Arabidopsis thaliana: one gene and its partners. The protein of the gene in region 1 interacts with the protein of each later gene in a pairwise test. Each region holds a gene or a part of one and is shown on either strand. Other genes may lie near its edges.

Evidence for each region.
Region 2: the proteins of CCS (region 1) and CNX2 interact in a two-hybrid assay, tested with the Arabidopsis thaliana proteins (one large-scale study listed by BioGRID).
Region 3: the proteins of CCS (region 1) and AT5G24680 interact in a two-hybrid assay, tested with the Arabidopsis thaliana proteins (one large-scale study listed by BioGRID).

The regions. Positions count from the first base shown.
Region 1 is NC_003070.9:4,266,559-4,270,569, forward strand, and holds CCS (copper chaperone for SOD1), read right to left. Parts: upstream 2,425-4,011; 5' UTR 2,343-2,424; coding exon 2,106-2,342; intron 1,998-2,105; coding exon 1,971-1,997; exon of another isoform or gene 1,890-1,970; coding exon 1,817-1,889; exon of another isoform or gene 1,720-1,816; coding exon 1,585-1,719; intron 1,283-1,584; coding exon 1,059-1,282; intron 986-1,058; coding exon 719-985; 3' UTR 516-718; downstream 1-515. Other genes in the region: AT1G12530 (uncharacterized protein), read right to left, coding at 2,564-2,918, 3,015-3,130. UniProt on the Arabidopsis thaliana protein: Copper chaperone for the superoxide dismutases CSD1, CSD2 and CSD3. Binds copper ions and delivers them specifically to CSDs. Is required for assistance in CSDs disulfide bond formation and thereby activation of CSDs.
Region 2 is NC_003071.7:13,583,424-13,588,214, forward strand, and holds CNX2 (cofactor of nitrate reductase and xanthine dehydrogenase 2), read right to left. Parts: upstream 3,281-4,791; 5' UTR 3,062-3,280; coding exon 2,996-3,061; intron 2,785-2,995; coding exon 2,191-2,784; intron 2,094-2,190; coding exon 1,926-2,093; intron 1,831-1,925; coding exon 1,639-1,830; coding exon of another isoform or gene 1,606-1,638; exon of another isoform or gene 1,465-1,605; coding exon 1,396-1,464; intron 1,296-1,395; coding exon 1,212-1,295; 3' UTR 1,200-1,211; intron 1,031-1,199; 3' UTR 598-1,030; downstream 1-597. Other genes in the region: LCR76 (low-molecular-weight cysteine-rich 76), read left to right, coding at 7-70, 401-597; LCR75 (low-molecular-weight cysteine-rich 75), read left to right, coding at 4,286-4,358, 4,583-4,764. UniProt on the Arabidopsis thaliana protein: Catalyzes the cyclization of GTP to (8S)-3',8-cyclo-7,8-dihydroguanosine 5'-triphosphate.
Region 3 is NC_003076.8:8,451,580-8,456,079, reverse strand, and holds AT5G24680 (Peptidase C78, ubiquitin fold modifier-specific peptidase 1/ 2), read right to left. Parts: upstream 2,506-4,500; 5' UTR 2,415-2,505; coding exon 2,359-2,414; intron 2,249-2,358; coding exon 2,116-2,248; intron 2,020-2,115; coding exon 1,304-2,019; intron 1,201-1,303; coding exon 1,086-1,200; intron 1,011-1,085; coding exon 915-1,010; intron 806-914; coding exon 722-805; 3' UTR 562-721; downstream 1-561. Other genes in the region: AT5G24690 (plant/protein, putative (DUF3411)), read left to right, coding at 21-297.

The DNA.
Region 1 (4,011 bases):
TATGTATGGCTCCCTAATAAAAAAACCAGACAACAGAAATTACACCAAAATGTTTGAAGTTTGATGTTCTGTCTAACCATTACTATTTAGTTTAATACTACAAAGCAATCAATTTTTAATGTAAGAAAAAAACATAGTATATAATAATTCATCTCTGACAATGTGAGATTTTATTATTTGAGAGTAGTTTATAGCAGCACATAACATTTCACATGTTCTTGGAATTCAAAATTCTATATGATTTAAATACTTCTTACGTTTACCAGAATAAATTATGTAGGGCACAATATTGTAGGAACCATTTGTTTCCATGTGCGACCCAATTTTAGTGGGCCAAAAACAGTGAAACTAAAGCTAGTTGCTGATAGGGCCCGCGTGACAACGAAACATTATCTAAAACATTTGGTCTATACTATTACAAAAGCAAAATGGCTTCGCCCGGGTTCGAACCGGAGACCTTCAGTGTGTTAGACTGACGTGATAACCAACTACACCACGAAACCTGTTGAACATTGATTAGATACACACAATATATAGTATAGTGATCAAATTCTGATAGGGGCTCAACATTAGTTACGCAATTGAAAGTACAGAGAGTTTTGGTACAAAACAAAAAGCTTGTGTTGTTTCAATATAAACCTCAAGTTTTGATACAAAACAAGTTCTCAATCACTAAAAAACGTAACGTTTTATAAAATGTATGGTTGTTGACTTGTTATTAAACCTTACTGGCCACGAAATCGCTGTTTGTAGCTTCCCATATGACAGTACCATCACAAGAACAAAGTTTTTTGTAGTTTTCTCCAACCCCTGCGCTTCTAGCAATCACTGCGGCGGTCAATCCGGGGCCTGACTTATTATCATCGGTCTTGTACACCACGACGGCTCTCCCGATAAGGTCTGCAACCTTGAGTTTCTCTTTCTTTCCCGAATAAAAGGCCTCTCCGTTTTTGTCTGCCTCTAGTGTTCCCAGGTCTCCCAATGGCTGACAGAAGAAAAAGAGAGTTTTTAGAGGATTGTGATGACATTTTCGTTTTCTAAGAATGCGTTTCACCAACCTCTGTGCCAGTTTGATCTTGAAATGGATTGTACAAGCTCCCTGTGCTGGCTGCTCCGTTTGTGAGATCTCCATACTCGTTGATACACCAGCTGTGGGTTCCGGGTGACAAACCGGTAAAGTTGGCTTCGATTCTTGCAAGTTCCATACTGACCTGAGCAAATCGGACTACCCCGAAAATGTCAGGGCCTTTGAATTCTGCTACTGCAGCTGAGACTAAGAAATCTGCCAAAACACATCACAAAGTAAATATCATAAAACAAATGAGGAAAGAGGTCATCAATGAAAGACAAACCGTGGAATTGAAACGGTAAATCCTCAAATTCAATACTGTCAGTGTATTAAAGAGTAGCTCAAGAATGGAAAATTGCCAGTACGTAAATCTTCTTAATGTTGAACTAAACATAAACACAAGCCATGTACTCCTTACATGTTCTATGAGCTGAGAAAATATATCTTCTTTCTTTTGATGTTCAAATCTTTCTTCTCAAACAAAAACCAAAGTGACCCGAGAAGAGATATCTAACCTTGAGGAACACCTTGTCCAATTAAGCGAGCTTTTCGACCAGTTTGCTCCAAAGCTTGAGTCATAGCCTTAACAGGGGAAGATCCAAGTATCCTCACAACTTGATTGGACAAATCCACCTCCACTTTCTCAATACCTTACAAGATTAAAAATTTCCATTACACATAATAAGCACCAACAAAGTAAATCATAACCAAACAGACGACGATTAATAAAGTTGTTTCTCCTACTACCTTCAATGGTTTCTAATTTGTTCTTCACAGCATTAACACAACCCTCACATGTCATATCCACCATAAACTCAGTCTGGAACACACAACACAAGTTCTCACTAGCTCAAATCCAAAAATTGTTGTATAAAGATACAGGATTACGAGAAAGACTTACAAGAAGCTGAGGCATGGCTCGATCCTCCTGCAAATCAAATTCAGCTACTTAAATACTTAATCATCGAATCAGGAAAGCGAAAAAGCTCAAATTGGAAATAGGGTATTTCAAAAGTTCAAAGCTTTAAACCAAAACCTGATGGAGATTACGATCAGAAGTGAGAGCAGTCGCCATCGGAGAGCTAACGAAGCTTCGTGAAAGTCCCAAGAGACGTGGAGACGATCGGGAGAGGAAGGAGAAATTGAGAGATTGAGATTTGGGGTTGGTAGAGGAAGAAGAAGAAGAAGAAGAGAAGGCGATCGCGATGGGAATCGCAGAGGCGGCGGCTACGACGGCTGAAGTCGTTGCCACTGACCTGAGAATTGATGCCATTATCTTGCTTCTTCAGTTTTTGCGGCTTTTTATTTCTGACCTTTCAACAACCTTTAAATTTTATCATTTTTAATTAAAAAATAAATCGGTTAATCTGGGGATCACTATTACTTTGGTAAATTAATGTGCAGTAATTCTGTTGTTATTACAAACAGTTGGTGTTATTACCTTAAACGCAATAATATTTCAGAGGGAGTTTATTGATGATACAAAAAACAGTTTTAGCCAAAGCCAGGAGGGAGTTCAGGATCTTCTTCATCATCATTATATGCTTCTCCTTTGTTATCTTGTACATCATCACTACATGCCTCTCCTTTGTTATCTTCTACAGCTCCTTTAATCAGCTCTTGCTTCTGTTTACTCGCTGGACTGGTGTTGAAATCAGTTCTTGCTTCTTTTTTTGGTGTTGGAATCTTATGTTCCATTTCTCTAGCGGATGTTCCGCGTTTCTCGCCTCTCGGGTTAGATAATGTGGCGTAGACGGATTGAACGGTTTCTCTGATTTCATTCTTCATCCCGTCTTCTGATCTTATTATCCCCCATAAACCATCTGAGAGCTGGCTTAGCATCTTGCTCCTACAGGAAACAATCCAAAAAATTTAGTACGCTTGTGTCATAATCATTTACAACAACAGGAGTTAGCTGAATAGAAGAAAATCCCTCTTAATTTACCCGACTTCTTCGAATATCGCATCAGAGAGTTGCCTGGTTTTCATATTTTGAGCACCATGTCGTTTCAAAGATGTTGACTCCTTGACAACTGATATCATATTATTCCGTAAATCCTCCTGCAATCCAGTAACCGCTTTAATAGTCAGATCACAATGCAAACACAGGCAGTCCAGAAGAACAAAGCTCAAGATGTTTATCAAACACTGTTAAAAGAAAATTCCTTGTTGCCTTACATAAACTTCTCCGGCTAAGAAAGTAGTAACCTTCACTCTTATCTAAATATTCTACCAAGTTGCGCTAATGACAATGCCCATTCGATGGATAAGTATAAAGACTCCTCAAAGACAATGAACACTATACCAGCTATAAGTAAGATGTCAAACCAATTCACAGTAAGTGATACTGAAATTCTGAATCAGCTATAGTAGGCCTATAGCTGTGATCTAACAGCTTAACACCATTAAGAGAACTCTCTCCCCTAGGATCTGATTCATCTAAGAAAAACTAAAGGCATCTTGATAAACTCTCCGAATCATCAATGGTTTACTTACTTCCACGCCTCTAAAGCAACTTCAGATACACTTATCCCAAAATCAAAATCAAATGACCAAACTTTCCCTATCTTAAACAACTGGTATTGTTAGGAATCCCATATTAACACAAACCTTCCCTGAGACCAAGCTCAAACTTATCTTTGCACACAACTAACCATATCACTTGTTTCAACACTACAACAGTACACACGAAACGAAAAGATCAAATTTTTTGGAGTGAGTTCCGAGAAGCTACTGATGAAAGTACCTAAAACCATTTATGGAGGACTATTGGGCTCAGTCTATATGAACCAAAAGAGCAAACTTTATACAAATTCTCAATCGAAATCTCTATTACTCAAGTCAAACTAACAAAAGATTCCAATTTGATGATCTTTTGAAACAATCAAAATCGACTAATCATTATCACTGGTCCTAACAAAGCCACGAATGTACTGGGAATC
Region 2 (4,791 bases), on another chromosome or scaffold:
ATCAAAATGAAGAGCTCTATGCAGTTAATCTCTACACTCTTCTTCCTAGTCATACTTGTTGTCGCACCAGGTATACAAATCCTAAACAAATCTACTAAACTATACGTTATAAACTTATACTTTATTTCCCTTGTTTAGTTTAACATTTGTTTTTATGCATACACTATTTAGTTCAAACTATTATGATAATGAAAAAACAACACTACAACTTATCTCATACTTTGCCATAGAATATTGAAAATCACATATTTACATAAACACATATTAGGAGTTAGGAGCAATAAAAAGATATTGGTTGGTTATAAGTTATCAACAAACAAAAAGCTTTGGTCATTCTTGATTATATTTATGGTTATAAATTTGATTTCTTATTGAATAATAAAATGCCATGATCTTATAGGTATGAAGATGGTTGTTGAAGGACAACCACAATTGTGCGAAACGAAAAGCTTAAACTACAGGGGGTTGTGCTTGAAATGGAGGAGTTGCAAGCGAGTATGTATTAGCGAAGGTTTCCCTGATGGTCGATGCAAAGGATTCTTCAACAACAAATGTGTTTGCAGGAAGCCTTGTGCTCTTCTTTCTACCGAAAACTAGACATTATATTGTTATGAATAAGCCATTAATAAGATACCTATTTTTATGTAAGCTAATAAAACAGCAGAGTACAAGTCATGTATCTCAAAACTCTATTATACAATAAGCTTTGATCAATATCGCAAGTGAATTTGTTGTTGTTATCAAATTTAAGATTTTAAAATTCTTAACATAATAAAAGCTTATAGTTGATCTTTTTGGCCATAAATAAGAAAAGTAATTGGACTGAAAAGATTCGTGTGGAAATTCTGAGTTCCTGTACAGTGTCTGTTACGTATACAGAGAAGAAACAGTTTGAGAAACTCTTCAGTCTTCTTGTTCTTGTTTGCAAAAAAGTTTGTCACAGTCTCACAGAGTTGGGAGCAGCAGATAGATTCTTACAAGATATAAAACTCAAATGTTCCTTGTAGTGTTTTCCAGGAACTTCACCAACCTGTAAAGAGAAATATGACGCGATGAGTCACGTGAATCAAAACGCAGAGTTACACTAAACGGATCAATGCATCAAAGACTTTGTTACTGAGATCAAGTGTCAAAACCCTTGAATCGACACAAAGTATCCAATTTTTATGAGTTACATAACAATGGATTAAAGAACTTACGTTCACCGGAGCTTAGCCACCAATGTGTATCATTGGTCTATTAGCTGTTTTAGCAATGTCAAGCATTCCAGCGTGTGCAGCTTTCTTTCTCTTCACCTGAAACCCATTGTGAATTTTAAGTCAATACAGAAACGAAAAACAGAGGAAAGATTTCTTGACTGGTTCGTAAAATCAGATGAAGCAACTAAATACTTACAGCAGCGCCTATAATTTCCCTTAGCGCCTCATCATCAGCACCAGACCGGAGAGGATCTCTCAGACTAACCTGTTCACAAGAAATCATCGGGCGAAACAAAATGATCGTCACATTATTGAGAAGCAACCACGAATACTCATGTTTACCGGTACTCAAGTTATTGCACACTTGTACATGTTCGCAGCCACTTGAATCAACAGTTACTGACTTTTAGCCATGGAAAAATTTGGAAATGTACTTTACCTCTGAAGGACCAAACAAGCAAACTTTGAAGTTCCCATCTGCAAGAAGTCTCAATCTATTGCAGCCAGCACAGAAGTGTTCTGTCATGGATGTGATGAAAGAAACAGAACCGCAATGCCCATCGATCGTAAAGTTCTTAGCTGTTTCAGTTGGGTGATCTTGCATTCGTTTTATGCTCGGAAACCTCTTGACCTGTTACCATAACAACTGAAACCAATCATGAAAATGCTCAAGGAAAAGTTGAGTAATCTCAAAAAAGGCTAAACATTGAGAGAATTCTACCTTACCACTTTATCCATCACTTCTGCATAAGGTACAAGTTTCTTCACATTCCAAACATTTCCATCAAATGGCATAAACTCGATGAACCGGACATTGATTGGCTTGTCGCGTGTCAACTCAACAAAATCACAAATCTCATCATCATTCAATCCCCTCATGATAACACAATTGACCTGTCAAAACCAAGAACGATTTGCAAAAACTCTTGAACATCAAATATCGTTCTGCTACATTCAAACAGAAAACATGAAGAAGGATTAATAAACATACTTTCACAGGATTGTATCCAAGCTCAATAGCAGTATCAATCGATTTCATAACCCTATCATGCCCTTTACGTCTAGTCAGAAACTCAAACTTTGCTGGAACCAGAGTATCCAAGCTGATATTCAGCGAATCAAGTCCGCATTCCTTAAGCCTTGGTAGTTTTTTCGCAAGAGTGATACCGTTGGTAGTAATAGCCAAATTCTTCAACCCTTTTAAACTAGACAACTGCAGACAAATCTCTTCGATATCTTTCCTAACCGTAGGCTCGCCACCAGTCAACCGAATCTTGTTAACACCAGCAGAAACAAAAAGACCAGCCAACCTAACAATCTCAGACTGTGACAACAACTGAGGCTTAGGAGTAAGTTCCACACCTTCAGACGGCATACAATACTGACACCGGAGATTACACCGCTCAGTCAAAGATATCCTCAAGTAGGTATGTAAGCGACCAAATTTATCAATCAACATGTCAGAGACAGGATTGTCTTTTATCTGATCAACTTGATGAGCTGCATAACTACTGCTAAATAAACGCTCACTAGTAGTAGTAGTAATGGTTCTCGTTACTGAACCTGAACCAACTTCAGAACCAACCTGTTTAAGAATTCCAAATAAGCATTGATTCTCTAAATAAAAGAACACAAAATGAATTCATTCAGCTCTTAAATCCCTAACCTTTACACTATATAAGCAAATACTAGTAGCTACAGGAATAAATCAATTCGAAAAAGCAACCAACTTGAGTGGGAGAAATCGAAACCCATTGTAGCAGAGAAGTGAGAATTAGTAAAGTTGGGAAATTTACCAATAAGAAGTTGGAATTCTTGAAACCCAAGTGGCAATCAGTAATTTTGGAGAAGCACCTCCTCATCGTTAACAACACTGTAGAGAAGATCGAAAGAGAATTTCTGAGAAAGGAGGAGGAAGTCAGAAAATATAATCAAAAGTGAGAGAAGGAGGAAGAAAAGAGATGACCTTTGGTAAACGGAGAGAGTCTTTGTTCAAAATAAACGACTACGTTGAGAAAATGGAGACGGCACTCTCAAGTAGAGAGAGAGAGAGAGACTAGAGAGAGTTTGGCTAAAAGCCTAAACAAAAAAAAAAAAAACATGAAACTCTTTCGTCTTTTCTGATGATATCTGTCGGTCTCGCCGGTTACCGGTTATAGGCAATCAAACCGACCTCAATTGGTAAATTTACTGGTCCGAGTGAAATTCAGATTGCATCTGGATCGGATATGTCATTAGAATAATAATTTATTAACTGTGCTTACATCATTGTTTAATGTAATAAACTATTAAATTTTACAATCTGCGAATTATGTAACAACCAAACTCCAAACATTTGTACTAAATTTTTTATTTCTCTGTATATTGATATTATGTTAAAACTTTATAGATAACCAAATTTATGATTGATTGATTAAAACGATGGTTTCCTATCTAAGCAAGTTAGTGATAATGTAATCTAAAGTTAATTTTAGGCTGTGTGACTGGCTTTGATCAATTTTGTACGTAACTTTGTTTTATTGGATAAAGATATAAACTCAAAAGTCAAAACACACCAAAATCTAAACTACAAATATATCATTATAAAGGAATTTTTTTTGGAAGAACTTATGGAGGAATGGTTTTTTGCATATCTGTCTAGCTTCACATTAGTCTAAATTCATCTATGATATTACTACCACTTTGTAATTTTCTTAACACTCTATAGTCTATACGTTCATTGTATCAGTCCCCTCGGCCCACTTTAACTATGTTGATTCAATCTCTTCTCTTATGGTAGATTGTCTATTCATAGTGGTTAAAGAAAGAAAAAATCATTAGCATATATCTTTAACCAGTACAGTACAGTACTAGAGATATATATAAACAACAAAATATTCTCGTATGTGTATTTGCAGATATTTTTCGTCAAGATCAGATTCTTTTCCACATATTCCTATTGTTCTTCATTATCGTATGCATACGTTGATATACCAAAAAAGCTTTGTGCACATGTTTACTATAAATGCGACATTCTCACGCTAATTTTCAATATCAACAATTCTCCCCACGTATTCATATCGCTTAACTAGTTAGTAGGAAATAAAATGAAGAGCTCTACTACCTCTATGCAGTTAATTCCAACACTTTTCTTCTTAACCATTCTTCTTGCTTCACCAGGTATGCAAATCTAGTTTCTCACAAACTCACAATATTAAAAAGTTACTAAAACATATAATATACGCTTATATTTTAATATTTAATGCATGGGGTTTTACGCATCTACTTGAATAATTTAATATTTGATGATATTGAAGAATAAGTCAATTATTGATTGTTTATATGATTATAATTATATTATTATTCAATTATTTATTGAATAATGATAATGTATTATATTATAGATATAGAGATGGTTGAAGGACAACAAATGTGTGAAGCAAAGAGCTTGGACTGGAAGGGTATGTGTCTGAAATGGAGGAATTGTCGCCAAGTATGCATTAGCGAAGGTTTCACTGACGGTCGTTGCAAAGGATTCACCCGCAAATGCATTTGTAGCAAACCTTGTTTTGTCCTTCCTAATTAAGTTCTTGTTTCTCATTATTTTGATATT
Region 3 (4,500 bases), on another chromosome or scaffold:
GATGGATGTATGTGGTACAGGATTATGAATGTGCAATTAGGGGAAAAGTCAAGACAAGTATGGCTAGGTGTAGAGGCAGACCCACTGGCGCAGTCAGATGATCTGCTGGCAAAAGCATACAACCGACCCTCAGAGGAAGCAGTAGCAAAGCCATCTTCAAAATGGTTCATCTCAAAGAATGCAATTGTCTCAGGGCTACTCGGGAAGAAGCAAGAAGATTCAGTTTCAGATTCTCCACCTCCAAAGGCTCGGCGAAAAAGGATAGTGAGGAAGAAGGTGGCTGCATCTGCCTCTTAAATAACCAACAAAACCTCTAAAATGTCACAATTTTCAGAGTCCATGGAAGAACAACAGTGAGGTTTTGTTGTTCATTTGAGGCACACATGAAAAAGGTTTTGTTGCCAGAGGAAGGAAGAAGGGATCACCAAACTTGGAGGAATTGAAAAAAAGCTCTATAGCTTCTTTTTTTTTTTTTTTACTTTATGACTCGTTCTCTCTAGTTTTAAGTGCTTTTGGAAAGACATTTCTATTTTTAGGTGTGGTGATAAAGATGCTTATCTCTGGTTAAAATTCTGTATTTTCTCAATGTTTCTAATAAATAGCCACATCTTATACGTTCGTTGAAACTTGGAAAGTCATAGTAGTCTAACTCCTAGTCCTGAAAAATTGCAATTAATCTAAGAATCTTCAAGAACCATTCTTCAATTTTTGATGGAAGTCATTAGAATTCAACAAAGTGACTATCAATGGTTTTGAGCTTCTCCAACTCCTCTCCATCAGCAATTCCATTATCAACGTACAGCATCTGTATGTATATATCATCACAATATTCCCCAAATCACACTCAGACAAAATCACTTAGCTTTATGCAAAATAACAAAGAAATGATTGATATCAGAGTTCAAAGCTGAGACCTGATACTCGGGGCATTTCAGTGTGTGAGCTCCTCTTTTAAGATATCCCTCCCATCCTCTCTTCTCTATAAGCGCTATCTCTATAGCTCTAGTAAACTGCATTCACATTCAAGTCTCACAATCATTAATCACATTCAACTTTAGTAAAAGCTGATGTTCATGTATACTCACATCAGCCGGGTCCAAAATTAGGAGATTGTACTGAGGAGTAAATGTAGTTCCTTGCAACCGTCTCTGAACCCCAACAATTGTCCTCGAGTGCCCTTCATGTTGGAAATACAAGGGCCTGCAGTACACACGATAACATCAACTCAGGAACCTTAGACGTAATGTGTTTTGAAGTTACAAAAGACATTTCAGAGATCAAGAACTGAAACAAAACAACCTACCCTTTATTCGTAATATGAACACCGGATGAAACACTTAACCTGTTATCTGAGAAGTAATTCCAAACCCATTCCATTAAAACCGCTCCTTTGCTGATCCTAGAAGAATTAGAACTATGAGAGTCAACTGCTTTTCCCTTCCCACTTCCCCCCTTTTTAACCATATATCTGTCCATGGGACCATATGACTTTACCTTGGGTGCAATAGCAGAACCAGGAACTGAAAGATACATCGATTTAGACTTCTCGGGAGCAAAATCAACAATCCTCGCTTTCAACCCGAAAGAACGTAACAACGCAGCACATTCAGTAGTTCCAATCCATCTCTTGGAACCACATATTCGATTATCAAAATGAAGAGCTCCAGAAACATCAAACCCCTTGTTCCAAGCTAACTCAAGCCATCGCTGGAGCGAAGGAATATCAGGAACAAAATTAGAACCACCAAAGAGAACTCTCTTAGCTTCTTCTCTATGAGAAAGCAAATGAGAGCATTGCATTTGAATGTTCTTCCATCCACATCCCCAACCTTTATCCTCCTTCGAAGATTGAAAATGATCAACAAAGCCTGATAGTAAACTAGTACTACACTCTAAAGGTTTCGACTTCAATTTCAGTTCTGACTCCAGACAGTTCCTCAGCAAACAAATCAAACCACCATGACCTACACTATAGAATTGACTCTTAGTCTGTAACTGGACCAAGGAGGCAACGTTGTTCTGCAGAAATGAAACAATGTTTTATCAATTGGGTTTTCTTTTCTGAACCTAACACAGGAGTGGAAAGAAGATTTAAGGGTTTTAAGAAAGTATTACAGATGATGAAGCAGAGGAAGACGAAGAAGGATCATCAGAAGAATGATCATCAGAAGCGAGTTGCAGAGCCAAGTGGTGATCGGTTTCGATTTGTGGATTGATTTCATCGTCTTCGAAGTGGGAATTCACATGGCTGAGTCAAACCATCCACCATAACCAGACAAACACATCAAGACCTCGAGAGAATGCAACTAAGAAGCATATAGAAATAAGGGACACAAAGCTGAAATTAGGGATTGATACCTTTGGATTAGGGAGAGAGGAAGCGTGAGATTGCAGACAGGACACAAAGCTGACATCTTTATAACCCGGGACAAGAAAAAAGTCGCCTTTTTTTCACTCTTTCGTTTGTTTTCTCGCCGGAAGAAATCAGAAATTGACCTCCTCCGGTGATGATCAAAACGCCTGCGTTTAATTGGAGTGCTTGTGGTGCATTGATTATTTCTATTTTTTTTTGGAATTTTTAATTCTTAATGATTTTTATTTTATTTTTGTGTTAAAAGATAAATTTAAACGAGAGAAAGTAGAAAATAAAGAATCTTAATTGGCCAATAATTATGGTAAGTTTTAATGTGAGGAACTAATATTTCTCTTTTGGAAATATAAATCAGAGATGCATGTACACGTTTTACGACTCAACAAGTCACAACGTTGGTAACAAACCAATTTTTGAGAATCTCTTATAAATATCACATGTGTGTTTAGTAGGTCTCTATGTCTCAAAACACAAAATATCATAACAAACAAAAAAACAAGAATGGAGAATTCAAGCTTTGAAACACTTCCTTATGATCTACAAATGAAGATTCTGTTACCGATGCCTCTAAAAGTCTTGGCGAAATGGCTATGCGTCTCAAAGCAATGTGCATCATTTATTTGCTCCGTAGAATTCAGAGAAATTTACTTGAGTTGATCAATGAAAAAGCCTCGAGTGTTGTTCGTCACCAATGTTTTACCAATCTACCAAAACAAACCCGAAACGTTGTTTCATTCTGTTTGTCAAGAGGAGGAAGCATTGTTCTTGTCTTCCGGTCAACAAGAGATGTGTACCAACGAAACACCACTTTGAAATGTTTCTAAACCCATCCAAGGTTTGATTTGCCTTCAAGATACTGAGGTTGCGATTTAATTTGCAACCTGGCTACGCGAACGTTACGGAAATTACCGCAGATCGAAAGGTCTAACGGAGCATGCATGAAAAGTTTTTTCGGATACTACAAAGCTAAAAAAAGTAATCAAGTTGATATGTATAAGTTTAACTAATAATAACAAATATCATGTATGCACGGTCATGTAATCTAAGAAAGTAACCAAGGTGCGTACCAACGACGCACCACTTTGGAAAGTTTCATGTGTTCTTTAGTCGAAGGATTGATCAAGTAAATGTGCCTAAAATCGTCATGGATCTGAATCAAGACCAATCCATCACAAGATCCCAATACTTGAATGGTTTTATTTTGACATTTGTCGATTGGATCATCAGGAAAAGTGTAGTAACAAGAAGAAGAATGACAGTTTTTTCCGTTGTTATGGTCATCTCTAGAAAAAGTCTCCAAAAGAAAAGTTATTGAGTTGAATCTTCTTCAACAAAATTCGCTGAAAAGTGTTGACTAACATGAAGATATTTCATATTAGGGGTTGGTAAACCTGTACGAACGAGTCATTTGTGGGAAAAGTAGGTTGATTTGATCATTGATCTCCATTTTTTTACAAGACTTTGAATCTAGCTAGTGATTTTATTGGAAGATATTGAAATATCTCTTCAACTATATCCTCTGATATAATCATTGTCGTAGGATTATTTTTTATGCATTGAAAAAATTGTCTTAGAATTATTATGTTTGTCACCCTCCATTCTTTTCGTACGATGATAATTCTTAGTTTAGATTTTTATATCAATATATAAAGAAATTAATGATCTAATCTTGGAGTCTTAAATTTATATTTAACATTAATTGTGGCAAAAGAGAGATTTAACACTATTAATCTACTTTAGAATAATGAAAAGTAAATAAACAAATGTACAATATGATATAATCTTGGATTTTAAACTTTAGATCTAACATTAATTGTGGCAAAATAAAAATTAACACTAATAATTTAGTTTACAATTATGAATAAGAAATAATAAATGTCTATAGGCTATAAATAAGTGTATATATATACAATCTTACAATAATTTAAAATATTGAAATGCAAATCTTACAATATGAATATTGTAAAATGATTCTAACATTGATCTAATAACATATTGATAATTTAACTTTACTAGATTATTGTAATAAATTTTACAACAAATTTAAAATATCAAAATGCAAATTAGTGTATTAAGGCAAAAACAAATATACAAACAACCCTTTTTCTTAAATTTAGTACAATTTATAA